2 linked regions of the Tamandua tetradactyla genome follow. The protein of the gene in region 2 interacts with the protein of the main gene of each other region in a biochemical or structural test. Links are inferred from orthologs where the notes say so. Each region holds a gene or a part of one and is shown on either strand. Other genes may lie near its edges.

What was found.
Region 1: the proteins of USP8 (region 2) and STAM2 form a complex in vitro, tested with the Homo sapiens proteins (3 studies listed by BioGRID, with this or other methods). The link is inferred for Tamandua tetradactyla from reciprocal best matches to the Homo sapiens genes USP8 and STAM2.

The regions. Positions count from the first base shown.
Region 1 is NC_135329.1:122,443,906-122,459,963, reverse strand, and holds the start of STAM2 (signal transducing adapter molecule 2), read left to right. Parts: upstream 1-7,675; 5' UTR 7,676-7,988; coding exon 7,989-8,028; intron 8,029-16,058.
Region 2 is NC_135340.1:64,910,931-64,927,083, reverse strand, and holds the start of USP8 (ubiquitin carboxyl-terminal hydrolase 8), read right to left. Parts: upstream 8,389-16,153; 5' UTR 8,166-8,388; intron 1-8,165. UniProt on the Homo sapiens protein: Hydrolase that can remove conjugated ubiquitin from proteins and therefore plays an important regulatory role at the level of protein turnover by preventing degradation. Converts both 'Lys-48' an 'Lys-63'-linked ubiquitin chains.

The sequences.
Region 1 (16,058 bases), on a different chromosome or scaffold from region 2:
GTCTATAAATGTTTTAATTTCTCCTTCATTTTTGAAGGACAATTTTGCTGGATATAGGAGTCTTGGTTGGCAGTTTTTCTCTTTTAGTAATATAAATATATCATCCCACTGTCTTCTAGCTTCCATGGTTTCTGCTGAGAAATCTACACATAGTCTTATTGGGTTTCCCTTGTATGTGACAAATTGTTTTTCTCTTGCTGCTTTCAAGATCCTCTCTTTCTCTTTGACCTCTGACATTCTAACTAGTAAGTGTCTTGGAGAACGCCTGTTTGGGTCTATTCTCTTTGGCGTGCGCTGCACTTCTTGGATCTGCAAATTTAGGTCTTTCATAAGAGTTGGGAAATTTTCAGTGATAATTTCTTCCATTAGTTTTTCTCCTCCTTTTCCCTTCTCTTCTCCTTCTGGGACACCCACAACACGTATATTTGTGCGCTTCATATTGTCATTCAGTTCCCTGATCCCCTGCTCAAGTTTTTCCATTCTTTTCCCTATAGTTTCTGTTTCTTTTTGGAATTCAGATGTTCCATCCTCCAGTTCACTAATTGTAGCTTCTGTCTCTTTAGATCTACCATTGTAGGTATCCATTGTTTTTTCCATTTTTTCTTCTTTGTCCTTCACTCCCATAAGTTCTGTGATTTGTTTTTTCAGATTTTCTATTTCTTCTTTTTGTTCAGCCCATGTCTTCTTCATGTCCTCCCTCAATTCATTGATTTGCTTTTTGAAGAGTTTTTCCATTTCTGTTCGTATATTCAGCATTAGTTGTCTCAGCTCCTGTATCTCATTTGAACTATTGGTTTGTTCCTTTGACTGGGCCATATCTTCAATTTTCCGAGCGTCATCCATTATTTTCTGCTGGTGTCTGGGCATTTGATCAGATTTCCCTGGGTGTGGGACCCAGCTGGTTGAAAGCTTTTTCTGTGAAATCTCTGGGCTCTGTTTTTCTTTTCCTGCCCAGTAGGTGGCGCTTGTGGCGCTCGTCTGTCTGCACGGCAGTCGGCCCGGGAAACCGCGCGTGGAGGCGGGGGTCGCTGGCCACCGCGGCTTGGGGGAGTGCCGGTCCTAATTGCCCAGCTGGCCCGAAACACCAAGCGTGACGGGAGGGCCCCGCTATCCAACGTTCCCAGTCAGACCGGGGAGCCACGTGCGTGGAGGGGACCGCAGTCGCCAGCCGCCCCGGCAGGGAAAACGCGCACCCCTTGGGTATCTCACCGCAGCAGATTCTCCCTGCCCGTTCAGCTGTTCCAGAATGGGGTACGCTGTCTTTTTGGTCTCTGTCGTGACTCCGGGAGCTGTTTCGTATTGTTTCTGTTTCTTTAGTTGCTTTTCTGGAGGAGGAACTAAGACCCGCGCGTCTTACTAAGCCGCCATCTTCTCCGGAAGTCCTGTATTTCTTTTTCTTGCCTAATTGCTCTGGCTAGAACTTCCAACACAATGTTGAATAATAGTGGTAATAGTGGACATCCTTGTCTTGTTCCTGATCTTAGGGGGAAAGTTTTCAATTTTTCCCCATTGAGGATGATATTAGCTGTGGGTTTTTCATATATTCCCTCTATCATTTTAAGGAAATTCCCTTGTATTCCTATCTTTTGAAGTGTTTTCAGCAGGAAAGATTGTCGAATCTTGTCAAATGCCTTCTCTGCATCAATTGAGATGATCATGTGATTTTTCTGCTTTGATTTGTTGATATGGTGTATTACATTAATTGATTTTCTTATGTTGAACCATCCTTGCATACCTGGGATGAATCCTACTTGGTCGTGATGTATAATTCTTTTAATGTGTTGTTGGCTACAATTTGCTAGAATTTTATTGAGGATTTTTGCATCTGTATTCATTAGAGAGATTGGTCTGTAGTTTTCTTTTTTTGTAATATCTTTGCCTGGTTTTGGTATGAGGGTGATGTTGGCTTCATAGAATGAATTAGGTAGTTTTCCCTCCACTTCGATTATGTTGAAGAGTTTGAGGAGAGTAGGTACTAATTCTTTCTGGAATGTTTGATAGAATTCACATGTGAAGCCGTCTGGTCCTGGACTTTTCTTTTTAGGGAGCTTTTGAATAACTAATTCAATCTCTTTACTTGTGATTGGTTTGTTGAGGTCATCTATTTCTTCTTGAGTCAAAGTTGGTTGTTCATGTCTTTCCAGGAACCTGTCCATTTCCTCTAAATTGTTGTATTTATTAGCGTAAAGTTGTTCATAGTATCCTGTTATTACCTCCTTTATTTCTGTGAGATCAGTAGTTATGTCTCCTCTTCCATTTCTAATCTTATTTATTTGCATCCTCTCTCTTCTTCTTTTTGTCACTCTTGCTAAGGGCCCATCAATTTTGTTGATTTTCTCATAGAACCAACTTCTGGTCTTATTGATTTTCTCTATTGTTTTCATGTTTTCAATTTCATTTATTTCTGCTCTAATCTTTGTTATTTCTTTCCTTTTGCTTGCTTTGGGATTAGTTTGCTGTTCTTTCTCCAGTTCTTCCAAGTGGACAGTTAATTCCTGCATTTTTGCCTTTTCTTCTTTTCTGATAAAGGCATTCAGGGCAATAAATTTCCCTCTTAGCACTGCCTTTGCTGCGTCCCATAAGTTTTGATATGTTGTGTCTTCATTTTCATTTGCCTCTAGGTATTTACTAATTTCTCTTGCAATTTCTTCTTTGACCCACTCGTTGTTTAAGAGTGTGTTGTTGAGCCTCCATGTATTTATGAATTTTCTGGCACTCCGCCTATTATTGATTTCCAACTTCATTCCTTTATGATCCGAGAAAGTGTTGTGTATGATTTCAATCTTTTTAAATTTGTTAAGACTTGCTTTATGACCCAGCATATGGTCTATCTTTGAGAATGATCCATGAGCACTTGAAAAAAAGGTGTATCCTGCTGTTGTGGGATGTAATGTCCTATAAATGTCTGTTAAGTCAAGCTCATTTATAGTAATATTCAGATTCTCTATTTCTTTATTGATCCTCTGTCTAGATGTGCTGTCCATTGATGAGAGTGGTGAATTGAAGTCTCCAACTATTATGGTATATGTGTCTATTTCCCTTTTCAGTGTTTGCAGTGTATTCCTCACATATTTTGGGGCATTCTGGTTCGGTGCGTAAATATTTATGATTGTTATGTCTTCTTGCTTGATTGTTCCTTTTAATAGTATATAGTGTCCTTCTTTGTCTCTTTTAACTGTTTTACATTTGAAGTCTAATTTGTTGGATATTAGTATAGCCACTCCTGCTCTTTTCTGGTTGTTATTTGCATGAAATATCTTTTCCCAACCTTTCACTTTCAACCTATATTTATCTTTGGGTCTAAGATGTGTTTCCTGTAGACAGCATATAGAAGGATCCTGTCTTTTAATCCATGTCTTTTGATTGGGGAATTCAGTCCATTAACATTTAGAGTTATTACTGTTTGGATAATATTTTCCTCTACCATTTTGCCTTTTGTATTATATATATCATATCTGACTTTCCTTCTTTCTACACTTTTCTCCATGCCTCTCTCTTCTGTCTTTTTGTATCTGACTCTAGTGCTTCCTTTAGTATTTCTTGCAGAGCTCGTCTCTTGGTCACAAATTCTCTTAGTGACTTTTTGTCTGAGAATGTTTTAATTTCTCCCTCATTTTTGAAGGACAATTTTGCTGGATATAGGAGTCTTGGCTGGCAGTTTTTCTCTTTTAGTAACTTAAATATATCATCCCACTGTCTTCTAGCTTCCATGGTTTCTGCTGAGAAATCTACACATAGTCTTATTGGGTTTCCCTTGTATGTGATGGATTGCTTCTCTCTCGCTGCTTTCAAGATCCTCTCTTTCTCTTTGACCTCTGACATTCTAACTAGTAAGTGTCTTGGGGAACGCCTATTTGTGTCTAATCTCTTTGGGGTGCGCTGCACTTCTTGGATCTGTAATTTTAGGTCTTTCATAAGAGTTGGGAAATTTTCAGTGATAATTTCTTCCATTAGTTTTTCTCCTCCTTTTCCCTTCTCTTCTCCTTCTGGGACACCCACTACACGTATATTTGTACGGTTCACATTGTCTTTGAATTCCCTGATACCTTGTTCAAATTTTTCCATTCTTTTCCCTATAGTTTCTGTTTCTTTTTGGAATTCAGATGTTTCATCCTCCAAATCACTAATTCTATCTTCTGTCTCTTTAAATCTGTCATTGTAGGTATCCATTGTTTTTTCCATCTTTTCTACTTTATGTTTCACTTCCATAAGTTTTGTGATTTGTTTTTTCAGTTTTTCTATTTCTTCTTTATGTTCAGCCCATGTCTTCTTCATGTCCTCCCTCAATTTATTGATTTCGTTTTTGAAGAGGTTTTCCATTTCTGTTCGTATATTCAGCATTAGTTGTTTCAGCTCCTGTATCTCATTTGAACTATTGGTTTGTTTGTTTGACTGGGCCATATGTTCAATTTTCTGAGCGTGATCCGTTATCTTCTGCTGGCGTCTGGGCATTTAGTCAGATTTCCCTGGGTGTTCGACCCCACAGGTTGAAAGATTTTTCTGTGCAATCTCTGGGTTCTGTTTTTCTTATCCTGCCCAGTAGGTGGCGCTCGTGGCACACGTTTGTCTACGGGTTACAGCAGTGAAAGTTGCTGTGGGTCCTTTAACTCTGGAAAATTCTCGCCGTAGGGGAGGTTCGGCAGCCGAAGCGTCTTGGAAGAGTGCCAGCCGGCCTGGGGTTCCGAATGCGGGGAGGGTCGCCGGCCACCGCAGCACGGGAGAGCGTCTGGCCGAATTAGCTAGTCGGCCCGGGGCGCCAAGCGTGGCGGGAGGGCGCCAGCTGTCGCAGCCCGGGAGAGTGCACTGTTCCCAGCCGGACGGGGGAGTCACGTGTTTGGAAGGGATCCCCCGGTCACTGTTCACAGCAGCCTGGGGATTTCCGACCCAACTCTCTGTTGGTCCGGGGGGCCTCGTGTGGTGGGGGCACCAGCCGCCGCGGCCTAAGGGGACCGCCTGTCCAATTCTACCAGCTGGCCTGGGAAGGTGGAAGGGAGGGACTCCGGTCGCTTGCCGTCCCACCCAGGAAAGCCCGTGCCCCTTGGTGATCTCACCGGAGCTGGTTCTCCCAGATAGTCAGCCGTTCCAGGATGGGGTACGCTGTCCCTTTGATCTCCCTCGTGGCTCCGGGAGCTGCTCTGTATTATCTCCACTCCCCCAGTAGCTGTTCTGGAGGAGGAAAGGTGAGGGTGGCAAAGCTGTCGAGGCTGGTGGTGGAGGAGCTGGTGAAGGTGGAAGAGGGGAGAGGAGGGCAGGCGGGTCTGCTGCTGCGGGGCGTGGGCACCACGCGGCGGGCCGGCGGACAAAAGAGGGGAGAGGAGGGCGGGCGGGTCCGCTGCTGCCGGGCGTGGGCGCCGCGCGGTCCTTTTACTTTTCTGTAGCTCATTTTTTAAAAAACCTGGTTAACAATTAAATTCTCTGTTCAATTTAGTGTTGTTTCTGTCTTCTGGCTGGATCCTGACTAATAAAGACCCTAATCATGTTGATATTCCAAAGAAGAAACATCAATGTGACTATATCTCAATAAAATTGCAAAAGAAAAAGAACAGATACAGTGAGGAATCTCTGGCAAGCCCCAGTGGTACAGAGAAGGGCAAAAAACCCGTAAGGATCAGATGAATTTACTAATGTGGACTTAGTGTCCACAGCTTGCTCTGAAAGACAACAATGAGAGGAAATCCTCAGACGTACATTTGGTCATCAGCTTGGTATAGGTATGTGGGGAAGGTGGCCCGAGGGAAGGAAATCATCAATTTGAAGTGTAAACCCAAATTAATAAAGAAAACTTTAAAGAGGCTGGATTTATCTGAAATTGGTAAGATTATTTTGCATTTGTCATCAGGGAGACAGAGACTCAAAAAAGATGGTATTATAGAAAGATGAAAATGCATCTCTTTGCACACCAGAATTTGTGGGTTAAAACCAACATATTAGATTCATTCATTAGATGAAGTAACTTCATTAGATGAAGTAACAATGAACAATATTTGTTTTTTCTTGTTTTTAACATAGGGTCTAGCTCCTAGTGACTATTCAAAATTTGTCGTTTGAATGAACTCATCAAGAACTGAGTACATACATCTAAAGGTAAACACCTATAGATTTTTGGGTGTACTTGCTATTATGGAGCAGGAGGAGCTAAAGAAGTCACTTTAAAATGTGAATGCTTTCCAAAGGCTAATCCTCAACCTCTGCTCTTAGCTCAATACAACTCTCTGACAAAATCTCCTCTCAGGGTTTTCAAGTGCTGCAATAACCTCCTAAATTGTTCCGTCTGGGTCTGTTTCTTTATATCCATCATGAACACTGATGTCAAATTAATATTCCAGAAACTGTTTTATTATACTACTCTGCTTCTCAAAATCCTTAATGTGCTAAAATTGAAATTTCTTAGTTTGCTCTTTAAGGCTCTTCTCTGTTTCCTCCTACCTTTATCTACCCGTTTTCTTTTCCAATACTGAGCCTTAACTCTAGACAAACCCACCCAGAAAGGCTCCAAATATCTTGTACCTCCTAGGTTCAGTGGCTTTTGAAAACCAGCCCCTTCATCTGCAGATATTCCCTTCTCATTTCTACACCTATCTTTAAAATAAAAAAATGCCGCTATCTTTCTGAATTATTACATGTGTAAGGCTTCTCTCTTCTATAATACCATCTCTATACCTAGAGGTTGTAAAACGATTTTATTTGTTCCACTGTTTAAAATGTTGAAATAGTTCTACTAGAAGTGCTAATATTATGGGCCCATATTTCAACAAACGGCTGAAGCTTACTAACAGTTGCAGTCTTTAGGTATAAGCGCTGTTCAGTTTGATAGTACAAAAGCATTCATTGAGCACCTATTGTCACTTTTAAACGCTATGGATACAGCATAAATAAAACTGATCATGGTGTTTATATTTTAACCAGGAAAGACAGACAAATAAATGATATATTACGAAGAGTTAAATACCATGGGAAAAAATTAAACAGGGTTGAGAGGAAAGGACAATGTGTGTTTGGGAAAGATTCTTGCACTTACACATCCATTTTTAAACTGGCTGGCTGCTATGGGAATCTGAGTTTGTGACTCCTACTGTATATCAGGATCTTCCCTATGCTGTCATGTATGAATAACTGCTCCTATAAAACCGTCAGCAATTCTTGAAGGCAGGGACTGGGCTTCATTCGTTCTTGTATTCCAAGAACCGAGCAATGTTTTCATGGCGAGAACACTATGGAAGGCGAAATTAGGACGTCTTACAGATATAGTTTCTTGTACTACTGTTTTCCGGGTGTCTTTTTTTTTTTTTCTACTGCCGGGGTCAAGTGCAAAAGAGGATACAACACCGAAAGCGCCCGGGAGCTGAGCCAGGCCATTCCCAGACTGTCAAAGCCACCTGTGTGTCGGCGGCTCCGTTTCCAAGGCAACAACACTGTGACAGAAACGTAGTTGCGGGCCCACGACTGCAAGGGACTGGTTCAGGAACTAACCTGACACAGAAATAGGAACGCGGCGTCTAAGCCGGTTGCCCTGAGCAGAAAACCCAGGATTGCCCGGACTCTGCCGAATTGCCACCGATTCAATAGCTTCCGGGCCTCCGGCGTTGCCCGGTTCTAGGCGCGACAACTTCCGGCGCCGAAGGTCCCCGCTCCGTGGCTCGGCGGGGTCCTAACGATGGAAAGGTGGCCAGGGCGGCCGCCTGAACCATGAGGGAAGCTGGGAACACGGCTGCCACGTTGTCCCGGCGCGCGGCGGCGAAAGGGCCACCGGGAGGATGTCCGCGGCTGGAAAGACTTTGACCCGGGAGGCTACCTCGCGGCTGGCCGCGGGGCGGAGCGTGGACCGGGAGTCTGCCCGTCAGGCGGGAGCCGGGCAGGTGCGGTGGCGCAAATGCTAGGACTGTGGCCCGAGCTCAGCGGGTAGGAAGCCGCGGCCCGGGGTCACCAAGCAGGGATTAGTTGCGGAGCCTCAGCCAGACTCCAGCGACTAGGGCTCGGGTGCTGGCGACATGCCTCTTTTCACCGCTAACCCTTTCGAGCAGGACGTTGGTGAGTGGCGCCGGGCTGTCTGTCCAACTAGAAAGTGGGAGGCGGCGGGTTTAAGGATTAGGAAGTCTAGCTGAAGGAGAGAAGGGGCGGTGCCGCCGCCTGGGCGCCCGTGTTTTTTAGGGGGTATCCTGCGCGCGTCGCCAGCGGTTTAGAGGATGTCTCCTACTTTTCTGAGGTCGAGGACCCAAAGACTATCGTTCGCCACGCCAAGCTCCGGAATCGGAGGAGCGTGGGGGCTCGCTGGAGGCTGGACTAATTAAGCTATTGCGGAGTTGGTGATAGAAACTTCCTGCTCTCCCTCTCCTGGCTATTGAGCCCCGCCGCCCTCCTTTTAGGGCGATGATGCTGTAGTGGGGACCCTACTGTCTAGGGCAACCCTAGAGACCTTGATTCACCCCGTTATGTAGGGAAAATTCATCTAACGTTGCTTATATACAAATACATCCAGTTCCTGATGGTGCAGCCTCAGGATTTGTTTACAGTTGGAGGTGTTACTCTTGAATCTCAAATGGCGCAGGTGTTACGAGATGTTTTCTGTCTCAAGAGTATGAAAAGGAAAGTGCCAACCCGAGGATCTCAAAACAGTTCAAAACAGCTAATATTTACTTGTTGGGTCGTAAGAGTATTTGCCTCTCAGTGACAGTGGAATGAGAAAAGGAAGGATGAAACGTAGAGACTTATTTTGAGCTTTGGAATAACAGTAAAACAAACTAAGAAAACATTTCGTAGCAATAGTTAACTCTAGGTAGAGTTTTAGGCCTTGGTGGAATAAAAAGCATAGCTGAAAATTGCCTTAGTCTCGCAGGCAGCAGCAAGCCACCTGTTTCATAGTTACATTTTTCTAATTATGAGAAGACTCTAGAAAGTTCCTTCTTTTGATATATTATGTGAAGCTATAGGTGTATTCAAAAGTCATATATGTGAGAGTCAAATAAGACGAATGTTATAAGCCTCTTCTATTCCTAGAGAGCTGAAATATTTATATCTTGACCCTCAGATAGTATTCAGGTGGGCATGTTCCTTATTTCATTAAACTTTTTTCTTGATAATGGAACACAGTGCCTGACATAAATCTGGGAAACAGCATGTTGAAGTGCACTGTTTCTGCTTTTGGAATACCTAATGGTTTCTTTGTTGCAACTGTTTTACCTTTGTGAGAATTGTACTTTTTGTTTTTTCCTTAGTTTTTTTTTGAGTTGTACTTTTCAATGAGAAAGACTTTTATTTTGTTCCAATGAAATAAAATAGAAAGGGTGAAATAGAATAAGTAAAATGATCTTAAAATGTAAAAATGGTGGAATTATTTCTTCAAGGGAAATCCTTCCCAGAAGCCCAATGTTTTTGTGATTGAAAACTTCCCTGGTCTAAGTAGGCTGAGGAACTCTGCCTGTTTGCTCTCTAAATCTTACCTTCTGTGGTTCCTGAGGCCCTCCACATGGTTTAGTGGAATATAGTTTAGTAAAAGAGGCACTGTTGTTGGGACCAAAAACTCTGCGGTATATAAATTTTTTTCACAGGAGTGCCATCAGCAGAAGCCTCAAGTGCTTAATTGTTAGCTCAAGTATGACTGAATGAAAGAACATGTTTGATTGAGGCCCACCTGTAACTTTTAGTCAAGTGCAGGGAGTTAATAACAAAAGTGGAATGATATACTAAAGATTTCAGATTAGCCTTTAAACCTGTATCATAACAGAAGAATTCTATTTTACATTTTTCAGATCTTAAAAGCGCCTTTTAATTTGAAATAATACAAAGCAAGTCATTATTTATGACTTGAGATGTCTACAGGAGTGTTCCCTCACAGTCTTTGTTATTGTCTTTTTCACCTGCTCTGTTTCTTCTTGCTGTACATTTGTTCACTGCTCATTCAACAAACATGCACCAAAAGATACTCTGTCAAGCATCGTGTTAAGTTCTGGGGACAGGAAGTTGAATAAATAGATTGAGAGTTTCTGCCCTCAAAGAACTTAATCTAATAGAGGACACATATGAAAAGAACATTAAAAAACCCATGCCTAGCTGGTCTCTTGGTCACAAATTCTCTCAGTGATTTTTTGTCTGAAAATGTTTTAATTTCTCCCTCATTTTTGAAGGACAATTTTTCTGGATATAGAATTCTTGGTTGGCATTAAGCAGATAGCACCTTGTTCAAGATGTAGCGGAGAGGCTGGAGGGAACTGCCTGAAAATGTAGAGCTGTGTTCCAGTAGCCATGTTTCTTGATGATGATTGAACAATGATATAGCTTTCACAGTGAGACTCTGTGAATGTGAAAACCTTGTGTCTGATGCTCCTTTTAGCTACTATATCAACAGAAGAGTAGAACATATGGAATAAAAATAAATAATAGGGGGAACAAATGTTAAAATAAATTTAGTTTGAAATGCTAGTGGTAAATGAAAGCGAGGGCTAAGGAGTATGGTATGTATAATCTTTTTTTTTCTCTTATTTTATTTCTTTTTCTGTTGTCTTTTTATTTCTTTTTCTAAATCGATGCAAATGTTCTAAGAAATGATGAATATGCAACTAGGTAATGATATTAAGAATTACTGATTGTATATGTAGAATAGATATCTTAATGTTTTGCATGTTAATTTTTTTAATTAATAAAAAAGTTAAAAAAAACCATGCCTATAATATGTATATGTAGTAAATGTAGTAAATACAGTGCTATTCAATAATATGTAATATGTAGTAAATATAGTGCTATCAGAAGTCCTCCTTGCAGACAAGACAGTGACTTTCAGTTAAGAGCTTTCCCTGTAAAGATGTTTGCCACTATCCCTGCCCCCTCCTTTCCTGATAGCATTTCCACTGGTAGGAAGCAGCCACGAGTTACTGTATGTAAAAGATGGTCCTTTTTAAATTAAGGACTTTAAAACTGAAACACATTCCTGTCATAGATGTGGAGTCTCACCTGGAGATTGAGCAGCCTTTTCTGACATCATTTGTGGGGGAAGAAACCCTTTCCTTAGGCCCTGATCTGAAGCTTATGTCTTGATCTGAGCTGTGATAGGTCAGAATGGTTAGGAAGGCCTTCAGAAGTTGATGGTGTGTAACTTTTCAGATGGAAACCAGCTAAGGGTTAGGAAGAAAGAAGTTCTGGCAAGTTCCTACTTTTTCTACAATCCTTGAAGGCGAAGTTAAGTAAGCTAAGAAGGGTATCGTTAGAGTGCTTTTATGTTTGATGATTTTCTTCAAATCTGGATTTATTTTTTGCTTTGTTTAATAAATTTTTTTTTGTAGCTTTGCCAAGGGGGAAAAGAAGAAAACATTCCTCCACTTCTGCCAAACCCTACTGAGGCCTGAGTCCTAAAGGGGGAATAGAGATCCTGAGGCAAAGCCTGGTTGAGGGCAGCCAGTGTTGGAGAATTATAAGAAGAAAGTGAAACACAGAGCCTCAGTAGGAAGGTTTAGTGGTTGGTGTTTAAAGAGATGTCATTTCCTTATATTCTGTACCAAATTTTTCCAACCTCACCACATTGGTTCCTGAGTTGTAACTTGTCTGTTCTACTCCCTGACTTCTTTCTTGTTTGCATGCTTCCGGTTACTCAAGCCTGATGATCTTTCTTGCTAATTTCTGTCACTGTGCCATTTACTTTCCATTACTACCCTTCTGATATTTTTTCCGCCAGAGCCTTGATATCTCTTTCATTCTAGATATATTTGCTTTTGTCCTAGAAACTGAGCTCAAATTCTACCTCTGTAAAACTCCTCTAACTCAGTGACTTGAAGTGTGAACTTTTATCTTAAAAAGAAACTTTTCTCAGTGAAATTTGAATATTTATATTCTTGTATCTTTTGCTTGTGTATGTGTGTGTGTGTAGAACTTGATATGGAGGCAAGTTGGGATCAGTACAGTGGCTTTCAAACTTTTCAGTCATGGAATCCTTTTCTCAAATGAAATTTTATAAGAAAATAAAAATACGTATTGGTAGCATTTCAATAATAAACATTTATACATTCAGATTTCTATATTTGCTTATAAAGTCAATTCTTGAACACAATTAGGTTGTTAAAATCTTTGCAAAAACTTACAGGTTATGGATCAAAATCAGTCTTAACAGACTTTTTTCCTATATCTTATTTTGCTTGTATGCTACCAATAATCCTAATACCTTTAGCTAGTCACAAATTTTAATGAATGTATTTTGTGATTTTTGAAAGTATGAAGTATTTTTAATACATATATATATTTTTTGGCATTGGCAGACTCTGGGAATCAAACTCGGGTCTCGGGTGTTGCAAGCAGGAATTCTGCCACTGAGCCACCATGGCACCGCCCAAAAGTATGAAATGTTTTTGAGCTGAAATTACAGTATGTAACATAAATTCCTGCTCCTACCAGTCAATTCTGTGAGGTGCTAATATTTTGTCACAGTTTTTTTTTTTTTAATTTAAGAAAGCATTCATGATATATTTGAATTATCTGGTATTTTTAACAGCAGCCTGGTACTATTCTTTTCCTTCTCACCTCAGAGTTAACCATTCTCCAAATAGATATAAATTCGATTTTATAATATACTACAAATACAAATGTATTGTTGCATTGCTTTATATTTTTTAAACTTAAAAAGGTCTTTTGTGTACCATTCTGCAGCTTTTGCATTCAGCATTTTTTGAGTTATGTTGATATTTGTACTCTCGCTAATTGCTTTTAACTTCTATGTGTTCCACTTTGTGAATATACCACATTTTATTTGTCCATTTTCCTGTTGATGGACATGAAGTTCCCAGTTTTTTGCAATTACAAACAGCACTACGGTGAACGTTCTTATTGATATTTTCTTGTGCACATGAGCAATAGTTTCCCTAGGGGTTGTATTTTTTTAAAATATTTTTATTGTCAAATCTTCACACACATAGAGTCCATACATGATGTACAATCAGTGGCTCACAATATCATCACATAGTTGTGCATTCATCACCATGATCATGTTTTAGAACATTTGCATCACTCCAGAAAAGAAATAAAAAGAGAAACTTATACATCCCATATCCCTCACCCCTTCTTCTTATTGACCACTAGTTTTTCCATCCATCCACTTTATTTTACCCCATATCCCACCTATTATTTATTTATTTTTATCCATATGTTTTTACTCTCTGTTCATACCCTGGACAAAAGGAGCATCAGGCACAAGGTTTTCACAGTCACAGTCACATTGCAAAATTATACCTTTATACAATCATCTTCAAGAATCAAGAGTACTGAAATACAGTTCAACGGTTTCAGGTACTCCCCTTTAGCCACTCCAATACACCATAAACTGAAAAGGAGTATATATATAATGCATAAGAATAACCTCCAGGATAAGGACTCTGAAATCTTTCAGCCACTGAAACTTTATTTTGTCTCATTTCTCTCCTCCCCCTTTTGGTCAAGAAGGCTTTCTCAACCCCTTGATGCTGGGTCCTGGCTCATCCCTGGAGTTCTGTCCCACGTTGCTAGGGAGATTTACACCCCTGGAGATTAATACCATGTAGGTGGAGAGGGCAATGAGATCATCTGAGTTGGCTTAGAGAGAGAGGCCACAACTGAGCAACGAAAGAGTTTCTTTGGGGGTGATTCTTAGGCGTAGTCTGCCCTTTGCAGGAATAAATTTGATGGGGTGAACCCCAAGATCTAGGGCTTGGCTTGTTGATTCAGTTTTTCCCCACTGCTTGCGAGATATATGAAAATTTTTCCAAATGGAGAATATTTCTTCCTTTCTCCCCAGTCCCCCAGGGGGACTTTGCAAATACTTCTTTATTCACTGCTAGGACTGTATTTTGAAGGGTAATTCTGTAGAAGAGTAGGTGCATTTTTTTTCCTTCCTTCTTTATGATTGCCTTAACTATTTTTGTTCTTTGTTCTTTCATGTAAATTTTATTAATAGATTGGTTAAAAATCATTATCAAAGGAATTTCTTTATCTTTTTGGCTCTTTTAGGAGTTAAGATAAAAGAACATTTTTTGTTTCACATCAACTTATGAAATCCATAATTAAATATAGATTTTTATTCATTGATATATATTTAATTCTAAGGTTAATTAGATTATGGTTTGGGAGTAAGGTAAATAATAAATAAGGTAAGAGAGTGTGCTGGTTTGAAAGGATTATGTCCGCTAGAAAAGCCATGTTTTAATCAAATCCCATTTCATAAAGGTAGAGTAATCCCTATTCAATACTGTATGTTTGAAACTGTAATCAGATCATCTCCCTGGAGATGTGATTTAATCAAGAGTGGTTGTTAAGCTGGATTAGGTGACGACATGTCTTCACCCATTTGGGTTGGTCTTGATTAGTTTCTGGAGCCTTATAAAAGAGGAAACATTTTGAAGAATGAAAGAGATTTGGAGAGAGCAAAGAATGCTGCAGCACCACGAAGCAGAGAGTCCATGAGGGAGCAACCTTTGGAGATGAAGAAGGAAAATGCCTCCCAGGGAGCTTCATGAAACTGGAAGTCAGGAGAGAAAGCTAGCAGATGATGGACGCCCTATTTGCCCTTCCAGCTGAGAGAGAAGCCCTGACTGTGTTTGCCATGTGCCTTCCCACCTGAGAGAGAAACCCTGAACTTCATCGGCCTTCTTGAACCAAGGTATCTTTCCCTAGATGGATACCTTTGATTGGGCATTTCTATAGACTTGTTTTAATTGGGACATTTTCTCGGCCTTAGAACTGTAAACTAGCAACTTTTTAATTCCCCTCGTTAAAAGCCATTCTGTTTCTGGTATACTACATTCTGGCAGCTAGCAAACTAGAACAGAGAGTAAGAGAATGATTTTCTAAAATGAAATATCCAGTGCAGTGCTATAATAGTGTAGTTAGGTATTTATGTTTGTAGCGCTGCTTTCTTTGTTTAAATGAAAGATTCTCAAAGGTATCCTGGATGTTAAGAAAAACTGTGTTTATAGGTATGTTAGTATAAAATATCAAACTCTGATTTCTCGTCAACTGATTGTTCTAATCATCTGTCACCCTGATATCAAAATAAAATTTAGGGTTATATGGTTTCTTCATCTCCTGTTATTTTTTATCCCCTTCCTTTGTTGCCTTGTATCCCCAAATCTGACCTTTTCCCTCTCCCACCTCAGTTTCTTACTTGGTCTAAATTATATAGTTAAGGCAATTTTTTTCTCTTAATCTTTTTCTACTAACAATCAACCTTTTTCAGACCCCTTTCATCTGAAGAACACTCTAGAAATCCGAGATTTTTTGGTATTGTCTGAACCTTCTTTTCCCTTAACCTTTCTTTTTTAGAGTGGAGTTTCACATTAGCTTATTATCATCTCCAACTCCTCTTTTTTTTTTAAGTAATAAATTAGCTCCTTTTTTTTAAACCTACCCTTAACATTATGTACTTAGTAGATTTATAACTGCCTCTGCTTGAAGAAAAACACCTCTGTTTCTTCCACATCCTATGGAACACTTAAATTTCTTTATCATTGAGATCTGTTTATTACAGCTGTTACTGTTCCATGTGAGGACTACTTTCTTTAGATCCCTCTTGTTGAGGAATATTGAAAACTGAAGATCCTGTGAAGTACTTAACAGTTCTGACCTACCTTTAAGGCAAGCTCAGGAACTGTATTTACTATCTCTCTCATTGTTCTAGTTTGCTAGCTGCCAGAATGCAATGTACCAGAAACAGAATGGCTTTTAACAAGGGGAATTAAAATGTTGCTAGTTTACAGTTCTAAGGCCTAGAAAATGTCCCAATTACAACAAGTCTATAGAAATGTCCAATCAAAGGCATCCAGGGAAAGATACCTTGGTTCAAGAAGGCCGATGAAGTTCAGGGTTTCTCTCTCAAGTGAGAAGGCACATGGCAGACACAGTCAGAGTTTCTCTCTCATCTGGAAAGACACATGGTGAACACGGTCAGGGTTCCTCTCTCATTTGGAAGGACATGTGGAGAACATGGCATCATCTGCCAACTTCTTCTCCTGGCTTCCTGTTTCATGAAACTCCCTGGGAGACATTTTCTTTCTTCATCTCCAAGGGTTGCTGGTTGGTGGACTCTGCTTCTCATGGCTGTGTTGTTCTGC
Region 2 (16,153 bases):
AACAGAAATCCTTTTATTCTCCATGCCTCAAACTAAACACTAAACTTATATGATAGAGCAAACAAGGTCTCTTTAATTGCACACGTGAAAAATCATTTATGATGCATAAATATTGTTACACAGGGTACAAAATACTTTTGCTTTACGGTTGGCTTTGGAAGTTTGGAAAGAATGAGGACCAGTGGTAGAAGTGGGTGAACCATGGAGAGGTATGCCAGGTGGGCAGAGAAAGAATTAATTTCATTAGAGTTGTTGGCCCATCTGAGGAGAAGGAAGCAGAGGACCCTGATTTGAAATGGAAAAATTAACAGACTGTATTTGCTGGGTTTTTGCTCTTGCTATTCAGCTTGGAAGTGGGGGCGGGGGGGGGCGCGGGGTAGAGGCACTGGGCCGTCAGGGCGGAGCAGGCTCAGAGCTGAGAGAGGTGTCCTTGCTGGGGCTGGGTGGTTACACAGGGAAGTAATGAAAAGTGAAGGACCAGGAATGAGAAACCATTTATGCCCAGCAACTGTTGCTACAGTAACACCAATGTGAGAACAAACTATACAAGCACATATATATGTTTGCATCTTAATTCATGCCAGAAAACATACAAAGTTAAATGCCTAATTTTCTTCAGGTGGAATTACAGAAGCAACTTTGGACAGGAGGCCTCTGAGCTGGGTCTGGGTGTCCCAGACAAGAAGGCCCATGAATTTTCCCAGCGGGCCTTAGGGAAAGGCTATGGGGAGGGCAGAGCTGAGGAAGAAGACAGAAAGGAAACAGGAAGCAGTCTACCAAGTCAGGCTTAAATTCACAGACTTTGGAAGGAAGCAGCAGTTATCCAAAGGGTGCCTGGGGTCAATGGGAGCTCTTAATTCCCAAAACTGACTCCTGGAAGTGCCCCTCTGTGTGACACAGGTTTCAAGCTGTGATGACAAGACTGAAAAACTAACAGAACTGATGGTATTTCCATCCTTGCTGGGAGGTGTCTGAGGAAGGATAGCAGTGGCGGCAGCAGTGGCATCTGGGTAGGTGAATGTAGCATATGAGATGCCTGGGGCCAGCTCTGTGGTATACAGAGGGTAGGAAGTCCGAGTCTATGGGGATGATGGAATCAAAGCAGCTACCACCTGGTCATAAGGGTCCTGTATGATGAAGTGGGCTTCTAGCATGGAGTGAACACTGGTGGGATTTGGTGTTGCCATGAGCTTGCTCTTAACCATCTTGCTCCTGGCTTTAGCAAACGCCAACCTCAAAGTCTGCAGGTTCTCAGGACTGAAGTGAATACTATTCAACACATTCTTGGCCCCTTCTCCTCTATACATTCTTGGCCACTTCTACTCCTGCCCAACTGTCAAAGATTGCAAGCAAGAAGCTGTCTTGACATGAGCTAGATCAGGGATCCTTCAAATCCCTTCAACGAGCGGGAGAGCAGGTAGAGATCTATGGATTCAACGTCCATAGGGAGACCACTGAAAAAAAAGCATCTGGACCTCTTCTTCCAGGCAGCTGCCTGTGATCATGCCCGTGCCTGTGCCTGTGTTAGTGCTGTGCCCACTGGCCAGCTTCAGGTTGCTTTAGTACAGTAGGAGAGGGAGGTTGAGGGGAAAGGAACACGGAGAGTAAGTTTGACACACAGCCCAGGCATGGAGGTGGGATGGGACGCAGTGTGCAGTGCACTCTGGGAATGCGGGGTGGGGTGGCGGTTGAGGACTTACAGGGTGGTGAGAAGGGGAGTCCTGATATTTTCACTAGGACTTTACACCTGCCACTGTCGAGGCACTTGGCAAAGCTGAAAAGAAAGCAAAGTTCTTCTTTGTTGGCCACCCACCATCTCTCCCCAGTAGGCATCAACAGTACTCGTTACATCCTCTGACTAGGTAAGCATCATGTAATCCACTGTACTCTCATTCTAGTTAAAATGCCACAGTCAAGTAAGTATTGATGAAATAATCTGTTTTGAAATAATCCTAAATGTTAAAAAAGGCTCAACCCTCTGAGGAATTAATCACTGCTAAAGCTTCTGGTATTTTATGACCAGAAACACTGCCTGAGAGCAGTGCTGTAAAAATCTATTCAGAGCAACTTCTGGAAAAATGGTGGAATAAGAAGAGGCAGAACTCATTCCTCCACCAAAAACATCTAGAGAACAGGCAAACTGCCCAAAGCAACAGGTTTCAGGCTTGAGAGACGGAGGACCACTGCAACATATAATGAAGAGCAAGTTGAAGAAATGAAGAAACCACAAAAAAGAAACCGCAGTGAGGGACTGAATTCAGCCATGGCTCCTGGTGCCCATCGTCCACTTCCAAGGCCAGCAGCTTCAGGGTGGCATGGTTCTTGCCCAGCTGGCTGCTGCAGGCTGAGAGAGATAAGGAGGCCTTCTCCCCAGGAAAAGAGGAGGCCACAGCACAGACCTAATCTAATTGTTATCCAGTGAAGCTGACCCTCTAGGATCTGAAAACTTGACCCTTTCAAGGCAGGAGCACTGGGAGCCTGTGGAGTCATGAGAAATTGCAGTAAGTGACTCAATACCACTGAGGCTCCCAGTGCACATTCCCTACCTGCAAGGCCAAGAGCTACTGGTCAGCCCAGTCTCACAGGACTGTCTACTATGGACTGGGACAGTCAGATAAGTCCACCCACCTGGAAACAGAGGGGGAGGCAGCATAGTTCTGATTTATTTGTTGGTCAGCCAAATTTGACTGTGGGGTCCCACAGCCTTGTTACTTTCTGTACAGGCACTCGTAGCATCATGGTCCATTACTTCCACCTGCCTCAGAAATAAAGGGGATGAGGGCTAAAAATAACTCGCATTTGTATGGCTGTGGGGAATAAGCTGCCAAAGAACAGCACCTGCAGAGAAGGCTGGGAAAGTGTGGTCTTGGGAAGCTGCTTTCCTAAGCCTTTACCTAAGGCCCTTTAGAACTGGGTCACACTCCTTGCATGGGAACCTGGCCCTGCTTTGGCTGTGAAATACTAATGAACCAAGGGCCAAATAAGCCCTTTAACACAAACCCAACAGTGCTGATCTGAAATTATTGCGTACCCCAGAAAAGCCATGTTCTTTTGCTCCTAGTCATATTTTGTGGAGACAGCCATGTTCTTTTAATCCTGATCCAATTCTGAAGGGGGGGGGGGTACCTTCTGATTGGATTGCTTCCATGAAGATGTGACATACCCAATTGTGGATGTGACCTTCTGATTAGATGGAGATGTGACCCTATCCATTCAAAGTGGGTCTTGATTAGTTTACTGGAATCCTTAAAAGAGCTAACATAGATACAGACATTTGGAGATGAAGATAGTAAAGGCCTGGGTGCTAAGCAAGGACTCACAAAAATAGCCAAAACCTGAAGAGAAGAAATCTCCAGCCTTGGGAAATGCTAAGCTAACAGATAAAACCCAGAGTTTTGCTCAGGAGCAGTTAGTAAGGGCCCACAGCTGCTCAGAGAGGAAGTCATTGGAATTAGAAGTTGGAAGCAATGGAACCAGGAACAAGGACCACCAAATGCCAATCATGTGCCTTCCCATGTGACAGACATCGGCCATTCTTTGAAGTCAAGTTATCTCTCTCTGGATGTCTTAGTTTGTACATTCTTATGGCCTCAGAACTGTAAACCTGTAACTTAATATATTCTCTTTATAAAAGCTGATCCATTTCTGGAATATTGCATTCTGCCAGCTTTAGCAAACTAAAACACCAAGCAACAAAAAAATTGTAGACCAGATAAGGAAACCAACTTTCAAAATAATTGTATCAAGATAATCAGATGCTCAGACACCAGCAAAAAATTAAAAGATAAACTATGAAAAAAGAAGATATGGCCAAGCCAAACAGTCAAATTAAAAAGTTGGAGGAGAAACAGATTTTGGAACAGCTATTCAGAGATGTTCAAACAAATCTCTTAAATAATTTAAACAAGATGGCTGAGGAGATGAAGCTATTAAAAAGACAGGAGAGCATAAAGAAGAATTTGAAAGAATGCATAGCAAAACAGATCTTATGGAAATGAATGACAAGGTAGATGAAATTAAAAATATACCAGAGACACATGACAGCAGATTTGAAGAGCAGAAGAAAGGATTGGTGAGTGAGAAGACAGAGCAAATGATTTCTATCAGACAAAAGAGCAAATGGAGAAAAAATGGAAAAATTTCAACAGGGTCTTGGGGAAATGACTGACAACACAAATGTACAAACATATACATCATACGTATCCCAGGAAAAGAAGAGAAGGGGGAAAGGCCAGGAAGACTGAGGAAATAATGGCTGAAAATTTCTCAATTCCCATAAAAGACATAATATGCAAACTGAACAAGCCCAAAATACTTCAAACAGAGAAATTCAAATAGACCCCCTCTAGGACCATACTAATCAGACTGTAAAATGTCAAAGACAATGAGAAAATCCTAGAAGTAGCAAAAGAAAAGTGATTCACAACATCCAAGGGAAGCCACATAAGGTTAAGCTCTGACTTCTCATGAGCCACCAAGGAGGCAGGAAGAGATCTGATAAATAAAAGCCAAAGGTTAAATGGTTGAAGAAAGGACTGCTTTTACAGCAATAACACTGAATGTTAATGGATTAATTCCCCAATCAAAAGGTATAGATTGTCAGAATGTATAAGAAAAATATATGATCAATCTATATGCTATTTACAAGAAACTCATTTTTATATACAAAGACACAGACTTGAAGTGAAAGGATGGAAAAAGATACTGCATGCAAGCAGTCTCCAAAAAAAAAAAAAGCTGTGGTAGCTATATTAATAACAGACAAAATAGACTTTAAATGCAAAAACATTATAAGAAACAAAGGATACTACACAGTAACAAAAGGAGCAATTCACCAAAAAGAATTAACAATCATAAATATTTATGCACTTAATCAAGGTGACCCAAAGTAAATGAGGCCAACACTGGAAAATCTGAAGGGAGTAATAGACATTTCTATCATAACAGTGGAAGACTTGAATACACCACTTTCTTTAATAGACAGACCATCTAAACAGAAGATCAATAAAGAAACAGAAAACCTAAATAAAACCATAAATGAACTAGACCTAACAGACAAATATAGAACACCACACCCCAAAACAGCAAGATAGGCATTCTTCTCAAGTGCTCATTGAACATTCTCCAGGACAGACTACATGCTGAGGCACAAAAGAGGTCTTAATCAATTTTAAAAGACTGAAATTATACAAACAGCTTTCTCTGATCATAATGGAATGAAGGTGAAAATCAGTAACAGCTGGAGGACTGGAACTGGAGAACTTCCCCATCTTGGGAATTCCTGATATTCTTGTTAGCAATGGGGACAACCAACTCAATAGGCTGAGCCCTCAATCTTGGGGCTTGCCCCATGATGCTTATTTCTGCAAAGCAGAGGCTAAGCCTACTGATAATCTCACCCCCAGAGAGGCTCTTTTGTTGCTCAGATGTGGCCATTCTCTCTAAGCCAACTTGGCAGAAGTCACTGCTCTCCCCCACCTCTACATAGGATAGCACATGACTCCCAAGGGTGTGTGTAAATCTCCCTGGCAATGTGGGACCTGATTCCCCAGAATGAGCCAGGACCTGGCTTCATGGGAATGAGAAAGCCTTCTTGACCAAAAGGGAGAAGAGAGAAATGAGACAAAATAAACTTTCAGTAGCTGAGGGATTTCAAACAGACTTCAGAGTTTATCCTGGAGGTTATTCTTACGTATTACATAGATATCCCTTTCTAATTTATGGTGTATTGGAGTGGCTAGAGGGAGGTACCTGAACCTGTTGAACTGTGTTCCAGTAGCCTTGATTCTTGAAGAAGATTGTCTAACTGTACAGCTTTTACAATGTGACTGTGTGACTGTGAAAACCTTGTGTCTGATGCTCCTTTTATCCAAGGTATGGACATATGAGTTTAAAAATATGGATAAAATAAATAAGTAAATATTAGGGGGAGTAAGGGGTAAAATAAATTGGGTAGATTGAAATACTAGTGGTCAATGAGAGGGAGGGGTATGGGGTATGGGATGTATGTATGCATGTACATCTGCTTCTGAAGAGGTACAGATGAAAAATATATATACAGAAAAATGCTCTGAATATATCATGAAGATAAAAAGCATTATGTTCAAATAAATCAGAAGTGTACCATATTCTGCACCTACTATATAAATCCAAACATTGGTCCAATACAATTTTTCACCATAATTATGGTAGGCTAAAGACGGCCACAATTTCTTTGACATTGTTCCCTTCAAGAGACAGGGATCTACTGTCGCAGAGTGGGGAGGCCTCTTTGACCTCTCTGACCAAGAGCAAATGTTAGAAGCAATGCTATACCAATTTCTAGGTTCAGGCTTTAAGAGATTGGCAGCTCCCACTTCCTGTCTCTTCAATCACTTGTTCTTGGAACCCAGTCACCATACTATGAGAAGACCCAAGCCCCATGAAGAGGCCACATGGAGGCTCTTAGTTGACATCCCAACCCAGCTCTGAGCTAATATCAACTACCATCCATATAAATAAGTCATTCTAGATACTGAGCCTAGTTGAGATTTCAGATAACTCCAACCCTAGCTGCTGACCTGATTACAAACGTATGAGATTCACTTAAGTGAGACCCATGCAGCTGAATCCAGCCAACTTAAAGAAACATGAGGGAAATGAAAAATGCAATTTCAAGACACTATGTTTTGGGGTGATTTGTTACACAGCATTATGTAAGTGGGACAATGAATAAGATACGAAAAAAATGCTTCTTTAATGATATTTACTCTTATAAGTACTCACTTTTTTTCTTCCTTTTACCTATACAAAAGTGAATTTTCTTGCAGAAAGTTCAAAATAAATATATTTATAATAAATAAAATACCATTATAAAATATAACATAGATACTTTGTGAAAATGTCTAAAAAAAATCTGATGTACTGGCTTTATTTCCCAACTCTTTAAATCTACAAAAGCCACTTTGGTTATGTTCCATTATATTCAGACTTACAAACAAATGCCCACAATGATTAATAAAGTACAAAAAATATATAAAAAATTAAAATTTAAAATCATCTTTAAAATGGTTTTATTTTTTTCATACGCTGTCTTCTCAAAAAATAAAATGTATACCTATGGGACACAATTTCATTAATAGTAGTTTCATTTTTTTTACTCTTATAGGATCCTTAGTATTTTAATTTTTAAAATGCAACTAATGTGTCACAAGAAAGGAATACACATTTCAAGATAGCTGGATCACAAGGTAAAGACATAGCACAACCTACATCACCTTTCAGATAAACTGGCCCAGAACTGTGAAGACAGAAAAATTATCTAAATCCATCATGAAAGAGATATTAAAAAATGATCCTTAAACAGAATCTGTTGAAATGCAAAATTTGCTTACAAAGCAAAGCCGCAGAGCAAGCCAAAAACAGGAACACTTCCTTAACAAATATCACTTGACCTTTTTAATGGCTGCAGCAAGATACACACTAAACTAAGGATGCACGCAGATTCAAAAAGAGTAATATCCTTAGGTATTCCTTTCATCTGAAACATTCAGAGCTCTTTACAAATATCAAATTCCCTCAGGATCCGCAACATCTCTGTGAATGTAGTAAATTTTCTGTTGGTGATTAAGGGACTTGCTTCAAGGTCACTGAACTAGAGGCAATAAATGAATCCAGGAGTGTGCTCTGCAGCTTTATGGATAAATGCACATAATGCAATTCAGGATTCTAATAATTTCCAAGGTGGTGTGGAGATGAAATTAACTTACCCTACAACTCTAGGATAAAAGGCACAGTTTAGGAAAGAACGCTCTGGAGCTGGAGAAGTCACAGTTTTAACTGGATGAACTTAATAGTCTTTAAACTCATACATGCAACTTGACTAAAATAAAGTGTGACTGGGGCAGAGGAAGGATTGGGAAACACTGAGCATTTGATAGGCCTGTGACTGCAGACTGACAGCAGAAGATCAGAACAAGGAGGCAAGCGGAAGGAGGTCAAACTCTAGTCTGAGCGTCCAGAGGGAATGACCATGGCATCTTCTAAAAGAGGAAAACCTGAGTCCACAGGAAACTCGCTAGGCAACGCTAAGTGAACGGCGGGAAAGACTCAAGGCTGGGCCCTTGCTTCTATAGTCGGTTATTTGTTTGGGGATTGTGCTACCCCTCTCGGTGGACAGGGCTTACCTCCGGGGTGACCAGCAGCCGGCGGAAGGAAAGGGGGCTCACTGAGGACGACTTCCCGGGGACGACAGGTCAGGACCCAGTCCCATACTCACCGGGGCGCCGGGGGTACTTCACTAACACCAGCCTCCTCGCCAAAGGCCCATTTCCCACCAGCCCGAGGAAGAATTAGCCCTTCCCTATACCGACGGAAGCCAGCCCAGTTCATCCCCTTTTCCCGATTTGCACTGCGTCGCGTCGCGTCGCGTCTCTAGACGTCACTGTGGGGGAGGGGCTTCGCCTTAACCCCTCCCACCTCCACTGTCCAACTCCCGGCCGGACCTGGGAGGGCTGCGTGGGAGCGGAGCCGAGGATAGGAAAAGGCTAGGAGAAAGATTTTGGTGGGCGAAGGGGGCTCCGCCTCTTCCACGGTGCGCTTAGCCCGGTCCAGGTCTCCTGCCGCTCCCCGCGTTCCCCGGCCCTCCGTGGTGTTACTTCGCGTCCCGGGCCTTGAGGGGGAGGAAGCAGTATTGCTTTTGTGTCTCATAACTACGTTATTTTTCTTGTCAGATTGGAAATTTAGGACTAACTAAAAGAAAGATTTTAATTCCGTGGAATTTGTGGCTTGAAGTTTAACTCATTCTCTGAAGCCAAGCCTCTGGTCAAAAAAGAACGGACATAACCATACAACACATCATATGTACACATTTAACGTGGAAGGCCCAGTCCTACGAAAACAAAACTAGATGTCTGAAATTTTTGGCGATCTTTGTACTCTCGTAGAGAAAGGTGATTAGATGCTCCAAATATGTGTAAACAAAAGTTGCTTTGCTTGAAGCTGTCAGCCATGGTCACTAAGGTCACAGGAACTGTCCAGGTGTCTCATGGCTGGGTAATCTGGAAGGTGAAGTGTAAATGTCTTAAGTGCATGGAAGATAGGTGTTCATTACATTTGTAACTAATAATGGAAAGCCCCTTTTACCATAATGCTTCACGTATACTAGTCTTTCAATAAAGACCTAAGTTATACACTGTTTCTCCCAAAGAGTTGATTGATATAAGAAATATATTGTAATCCCTTAAATTATTAAATAAACAGGAAGCCTTAGTAAATTTTTCATACCTGAGGAAAAAAATATTAAAACTGCGACTGTCTTTTGAGAGTGGATCCTATGAAAGGATAGTTTTCTCCTACTGAACACATTAATGACTTTGGGAATGAAAAGAAAAGCCCAGAGCAAAGTTTGAGAGTAGGAACCAAAGAAAGACAGAGGGAGAGGAATTTGGAATTCTCTGAAGACAATCTAAGAGAGAGAAGAAGGGCAAGAATGTGATGCGAAAGAGAGAGAAGCCATAGAAGTGAATCAGCCAATGGAAAAAAGTTTCCGAAGGTGGAGTGGCAAAAGGATTTTAATAAATAGGATTCCATAAATTCCATAAATAGCAAAAAAAATTATTTTTGTCGCTCTGATGTAACACTGCCCCAATACCCACCAGTAAGTTGGGTTACCTCCTTTTCTTCCCTAAAATTTCAGTAAAGTTTGCTAAAACACAAGTCATTCGCAAAAAGCAGGAAACAAGTATGTACTTAGGAAACACATTTTAGACTTTTCAAAATTTGTAGAATAAGAGTTTTTTAAAGGACAAGGTTACCTAGATAAAAACTGCTTATTGAATGGAATCATAGATCCTGGCTCTCTTTCAAATAAGTGTTGTAACAACTTATATATGTACAGAATATGTGGTACCTAGAATCTAAGAAGTAGTAGTCACTAGCGGTTTAGAAGGCATAGCCTTTATTTGATCACAGTTTCAATCCATGTGCTATCCAGCATAAGCAGTAGTCCAAAACTTACGGAACCTGACTCATCCTTCATACAGCAACAAATGTGTATTAACTGCATGTTCTATTCCAGGTTCTGTTATAGACTTTGGGGATATAAAGTCCCTGTTCAACACAAAGCTTACTTCTATTCTGGTGGAAGAGACAGATCATAAACAAGTACATATATGCTATGTCAAGTGTTGTTAAGAGATAAGAAGAAAAATAAAACAGGGTAAGGTACTAGTGGGACAACAGGGTGCTAATTTTGATGGAATAGTCAGAGAGGGGCTCTCTGAGAAGGTGACATTTCTACAAAGACTTTGGTGATGAGAGGGAACTGGCCATGGGTACATGTGAGAGAAGAGTACCCAGCCAGGGGGAACAAAACAGGTAAAGGCGACAAGGCAGGAAAAAGTTAGTATGCCAGAGGAAATGTAAGGAGGTTCAGTATGGCTGGCAAAGAGTGAGTAATGGAAGCATTTCAGAAGATGATCTTAGAGTGGAGCAGAGGAGGTAGAGAACAGATTATGAGGGCCTTGTAGTCCACTGAGACATGCTGATCCCAGAATAATACAAGGTGTGAATCACATGCTAATATTTTATGAAAAAAATACCTTTCATACATATGATACAAGTAATAACACTGTAAACATCCTAATGGTGTTTTAATTAAAGCACGAGTACCCTGTGGTTCCTTTGCTAATTTATCACTCTTTTCTAGCCATCTGTTTTTTATCTCCTAAAGCCACACTGATTACTAACTTAGGTCAGATGTATGGCCTGTCAGACACAGCATTTTATCTCTAAGAGTTATACAGACAAAGGGTGGGAAGTTTGGCTGTTGTCCTGGATTTCAACCTCAAAGATTAGGTCCTTGCCACTCCTGTACTTCACAGGGACTCTATCAGCCATTGGTTTATCTTAACTTTTAAAAAATCAATTAAATCACCACTTAGGGTAATACAAGTTCTATTTTTTATGTGAAGTCATACTTCTATCTAGTTGGCCTAAACTGACCTACCTTTTAGGGATGCTCCCTCACTCTATGCTTTAGGATTTAGTGAACAATTTTGTGTCTATCGTTTTCATTCTTTCATGATTTTACAGAATTAGGTCTTTTATCCTCTCTGGCCTTTTTTTTCCATCTGCTCTAAAGAGTTTGAACCTGATTATTATGTTCTCCTTCACTGGTTCCCAATTCCAATTATTGCTTTCTCTTTTGGATATTCTCTACTTTAGATTTTCCTCGCAGATGTAATGTTCAGAATACAATATTACAAATGAAGATGAACATAGTTTTATCCCAGATGAAAGAAAGTTTTTAATTTGTTGACCCTATCACAAAATTTTCGCCTCCTTAGGTCATCAAGGAGTTAATTAAACTTCTTAAAAAGAGTTTCTGCAATTTGGTCATGCTAACATTAACTGGCAAAAAGTAAATCCTGTTCAATAGCCACAGGAACTGTTGAGCCAAAACTGTATTGAGTTGAGAGCATAGAATCAATATACATTCTTACACCTCTTTTATATACTTACAAAAATATTGTTTTAGCCATAGTGATGTCTTAAGGAAGCATCTAATTTAAAGAAGATATTTCTTTAGGTCAAAATTCTAAAAAAAAATCCATCTGCAATTTATTCCCATTTATATAACTCCTTAGTACCTAGAGTAGTATAAGATCATCTATGGTGCAAATTTTGATGATGTGTTTATTTCTTCCAAATCATTGATGCATGTATTAAATAATGCATGCTCTGGTAGTTTTCAAATATTGGAATTGTTAAGCAATATGAGAATATGCTAAATAAACAACACAAGAACACACAGTGCAGGCACAAAACAGAAACTCATAGACCTGGGCCAGCTGAGTGCACAGGATTCTCCTGCTGTTAACCAAACCATGGATAGCTGTGCTTGGGCATGGCATGACTAGATGCACCAGGGTACTTTTCCAGAAGAGGGATCCTGGCACACTGACACCTCACATATCTATAGAGGAGTTGGGAGGGAACAGGGATCACTGGCAAATTTGGAAAGCAATATTCCTATAGGGGCCACAATCTTGTTGGTTTTACAAACAAGCTGTTTGACACTGTCATCTTGGGAGTTTTCTTTATCAACACTGGTTTCGACCTGAGTCTTTACAGCCTCTCTGCAGAACCAGCTTGTTGCTAGGTTGCCTGATGTTAACCCAAGAATGCTGAATTTACCCAACAGACAGATTAGTGCATCTCCCATCAAATGTTCATAAGAACCAATCTCTGAGATTAGGATTCAGTAGATAAGGAGATGGAGAGAAGAATTTGCATTTGAAAGAAATGTCCAGGATGATTCTGATATTGGTGATCATGGACTCCACCTGAAGAAAAACTACTTCATCCAGTCATGTGAAAACATTCTCTTCAATCTGAATTTCCATGTTAAATAGGTATCTGTGAGTCATTTCTTTTTTTAAAACATAAAAACATACAAACATAAACATTCTTTTACCATATGATCATTCCATTCTTGATATATAATCAATAACTCACAATATCATCACATAGTTGTATACTCATCACCATGATGATTTCTTAGAACATTTGCATCAATTCAGAAAAAGAAATAAAAAGAAAAGAAAAAAGGAAAAAAACTCTTACAAACCATACCCCTTACCCCCCCCATTGACTGCTAGTATTTCCATCTACCCAATATATTTTAACCTTTGTTTCCCCTATTTTTTCTATACCCCTTACAACACCCTTTCATTGATCACTAGTATTTCAATCTACTAAATTTTAACATTTGTTCCCCCATTATTTATTTATTTTTAATCCATATGTTTTACTCATCTGTCCATACCGTAGATAAAAGGAGCATCAGACACAAGGTTTTCACAATCACACAGTCACATTGTGAAAGCTATATCATTATTCAATTATCTTCAAGAAACATGGCTACTGGAACACAGCTCTACATTTTCAGGCAGTTCCCTCCAGTCTCTCCATTACCTCTTGGATAAAAATGTGATATCTATTTAATGTGTAAGAGTAACCTCCAGGATAATCTCTTGACTCTGAAATCTCTCAGCCATTGACACTTTATTTTGTCTCATTTTACTCTTCCCCCTTTTGGTTGAGAAGGCTTTCTTAATCCCTTCATGCTGAGTCCCAGCTCATTCTAGGATTTCTGTCCCATGTTGCCAGGAAGATTTACACCCCTGGGAGTCAAGTCCCATATAGAGAGGGGGAGAGCAGTGAGTTTGTTTGTCATGTTCGCTGAGAGAGAGAGGGGCCACATCTGAGCAACAAAAGAGGTTCTCTGGGGGTGACTCTTAGGCCTAATTTTAAGTAGGCCTAGCCCATCCTTTGCAGGGATAAGTTTCCAAGATTGAGGGATCGGCCTTTGCTTTGGTTTCCCCACTGCTTGTGAGAATATCAGGAATTCTCCACATGGAGAAGTTGAATTCTCCCCCTTTCTTGCCATTCCCCCAAGGGGACTTTGGAAATACTTTTTTATTCACTGTTCAAATCACTCTGCAATTTATCACAGCATCACTCTGGAGAAGCCTACAAAATCTCATACCCTATTCAAGGTTCTATGTACTTATGGTGTTCAATTAAATTGTCCACATAATTGTATTAAGAAATGCACTAGTCAAAATATAAATTTTGAGCCAAATAAACATTTTTTGCTTAGTCTCCCACAAAAGTTAAAGTTTTAAAACATAAATTACCATCTGTTTTAAACATCCTGCAATATTGACATTCCTTTGTTCTTCGTCATGCAAAAACATTTTTTAATTTGTACATTCAGTCGCTATCATTGTATATTCTAGGCATTCCTAGATTATACTATATAAGTCTTTATTGTCTATTTTTCCTTCTGATTTCATTTGTGCCCCCAGCCCTCTCCCCTCTATCATTCTCACATTCAGCTTCACTCAGTGTACTAACATTATTGTATTACAGTTAGGTAGTATCATGCTATCCATTTCTGAATTTTTACAATCAGTCCTGTTGCACAATCTGTATCCCTTCAGCTCCAATTATCCAAAATCTACCCTATTTCTATCTCTGGATGGTTTCTGTTCTTAACTGAAATTCTCCAAGTTCATTCACTAATGTTAGCTCATATCAGTGAGACCATACAGTATTTGTCCTTTTGTTTCTGGCTAATCTCTGTGAAACATCTTATGTAAAGTTTTTGAAATTTTCATTAGATGACAAGATCCCTTAAACAGTTGCTGGGAAGCTTATAAATCTTATTCCTGGAAAATTTTTAAATTCTAAATCCATCAGTATGCCATTCTGGTAGCATCTCTGTGACTACCTTCTGTCCTAGCATTAACTATTTTTCCAAATCAGGCAGCCTTTTACTAATGAGAGAGAATTAAACACAGGACAAGTAATCTTAGACAGAATTGGAAAGTCAGGATAAGAAAGATATGAGTGTTATAGGAATCAAGATTTCATAGGAAGACCTTGGGCAGCTGAAAGTGAGCACAAAGCGATATGAATATATGAATCCCTCCCCATCAAAGGGGAACAAGCGAGTAGAAAGGAAGGTATACGTGTTAAAGCTTCCCTGTTTTGATTGGAATCAATCTCCCCAAGGACTTTTGTAATTCACCTATTTATACCTACATACAAATACACATTCATACTATACATACATGTTTAAACTTTCCATCCACTGATCCAGAAAATTGATACTCTTTGTTAGTACTATGTTCATACATAATTATTTTGGATGGACTCTTTTTCCCAAACTGAAATTTAAAAATAAATTTTAGAAGGCTATTTTATTATAGACTCAAACTATTCTTTCATAATCATTGTTTCAATAATTTTACAATTAAAATTGGTCAACTCTCTCTGATTCTGACTAACAATATTTATATTTTGTTGGGAAGTATTTTATATTTTGGCTACTAATCATAAATGACTATGTCTCAGAATCTCTTTTCTCACCATGCAGCAGTTGATGCTGTTTTTCCAAATGTGTGTCTACTTTAAAAAAGGTTAGCATTAAGTTATTGAGTAAGCAGAGTGGGTATATGGTATAATTTGAGCTGTTCCAGAAAGTTCCTTTACCTAAAATGTATATTCACAACTGATGTGACACGGATATCTAAAATCCCCACCATTCAAATAATTTTGTTGGTTTAAGGTATCAAATCCTGTCATTTCCTAAGAGACTCTACCAGTAACCCATGGGTAATAAAAGAACAATGGATAGGTAAACTATGAACTTCTCTTAGCCACAGCCATCTTATTTAGAAAGAGGAGACCTTATTGCTGAACATACCTGGCTGGTTTGAAACTGTTAATGTATCCCCCCCAAAAAGCCATATTCTTTATCGTAATCCAATCTTGCAGGGGCAGACCTATTGTTGGGTTGGATCTTTTTATTAAGTTATTTCCATGGAGATGTGACCCACCCAAGTGTGGGTGGGCCCTTTTGATTAGGTGCTTTCCATGGAGATGTATCTCTGCCCATTCAAAGTGGGTCTTAATCCACTTACTGGAGTTCTTTCAGAGGGAACCGTTTTGGAAAAAGAGATGTTTGGAGATACATGATTCTTAAAAGAATGCCTACATTCAGGTTGTCTCTTTCTTTGCTTCTCTATCAGAAGTAACTCTTATTGCTAAAGTCACCAAGGACTTCCTAAATGCAAGATTCGATGGAGACATTTTAGTCCTTATCTTTCTTGGTCTTTCTCTGGCATCTGCTCTAACTTTCTCCTCCTTTTACTTCTATGACTCCAAGCTTTCTTGGTACATCTCCTTCTTATTGGACAGTTCCTCAGCAGCCTACTTCAAAGGCATCACTTCCTTCACACACACCCAAAATGCTAATGTCTCCCATGGTTCTACCCTGAGTCCTTTCCCCATCTCACACTATTATTTCTCCCTGAGGAATTTCATTCATCTCATAATTTAAACTACAGTTTATTTCTCGATAGCTTTCAAGTTATTCAGTCCAATTCTTCAGACACATAAATAAATATATAAAGTTCCCGCAAGTCATCTATATCTATATGTTTTCCCATTGTCTATACATCAGTGCCAAATCCCTTAGCATATCTACAAGGATCTTCATGATCTGGCGGTTGTCAACTTAGCTAGCCTTGCCTGCCATTTTTATACACCCACCCTCTCCTCCTTTATACTGACTCTGATCATTCTAAGAGCTTGGAATACT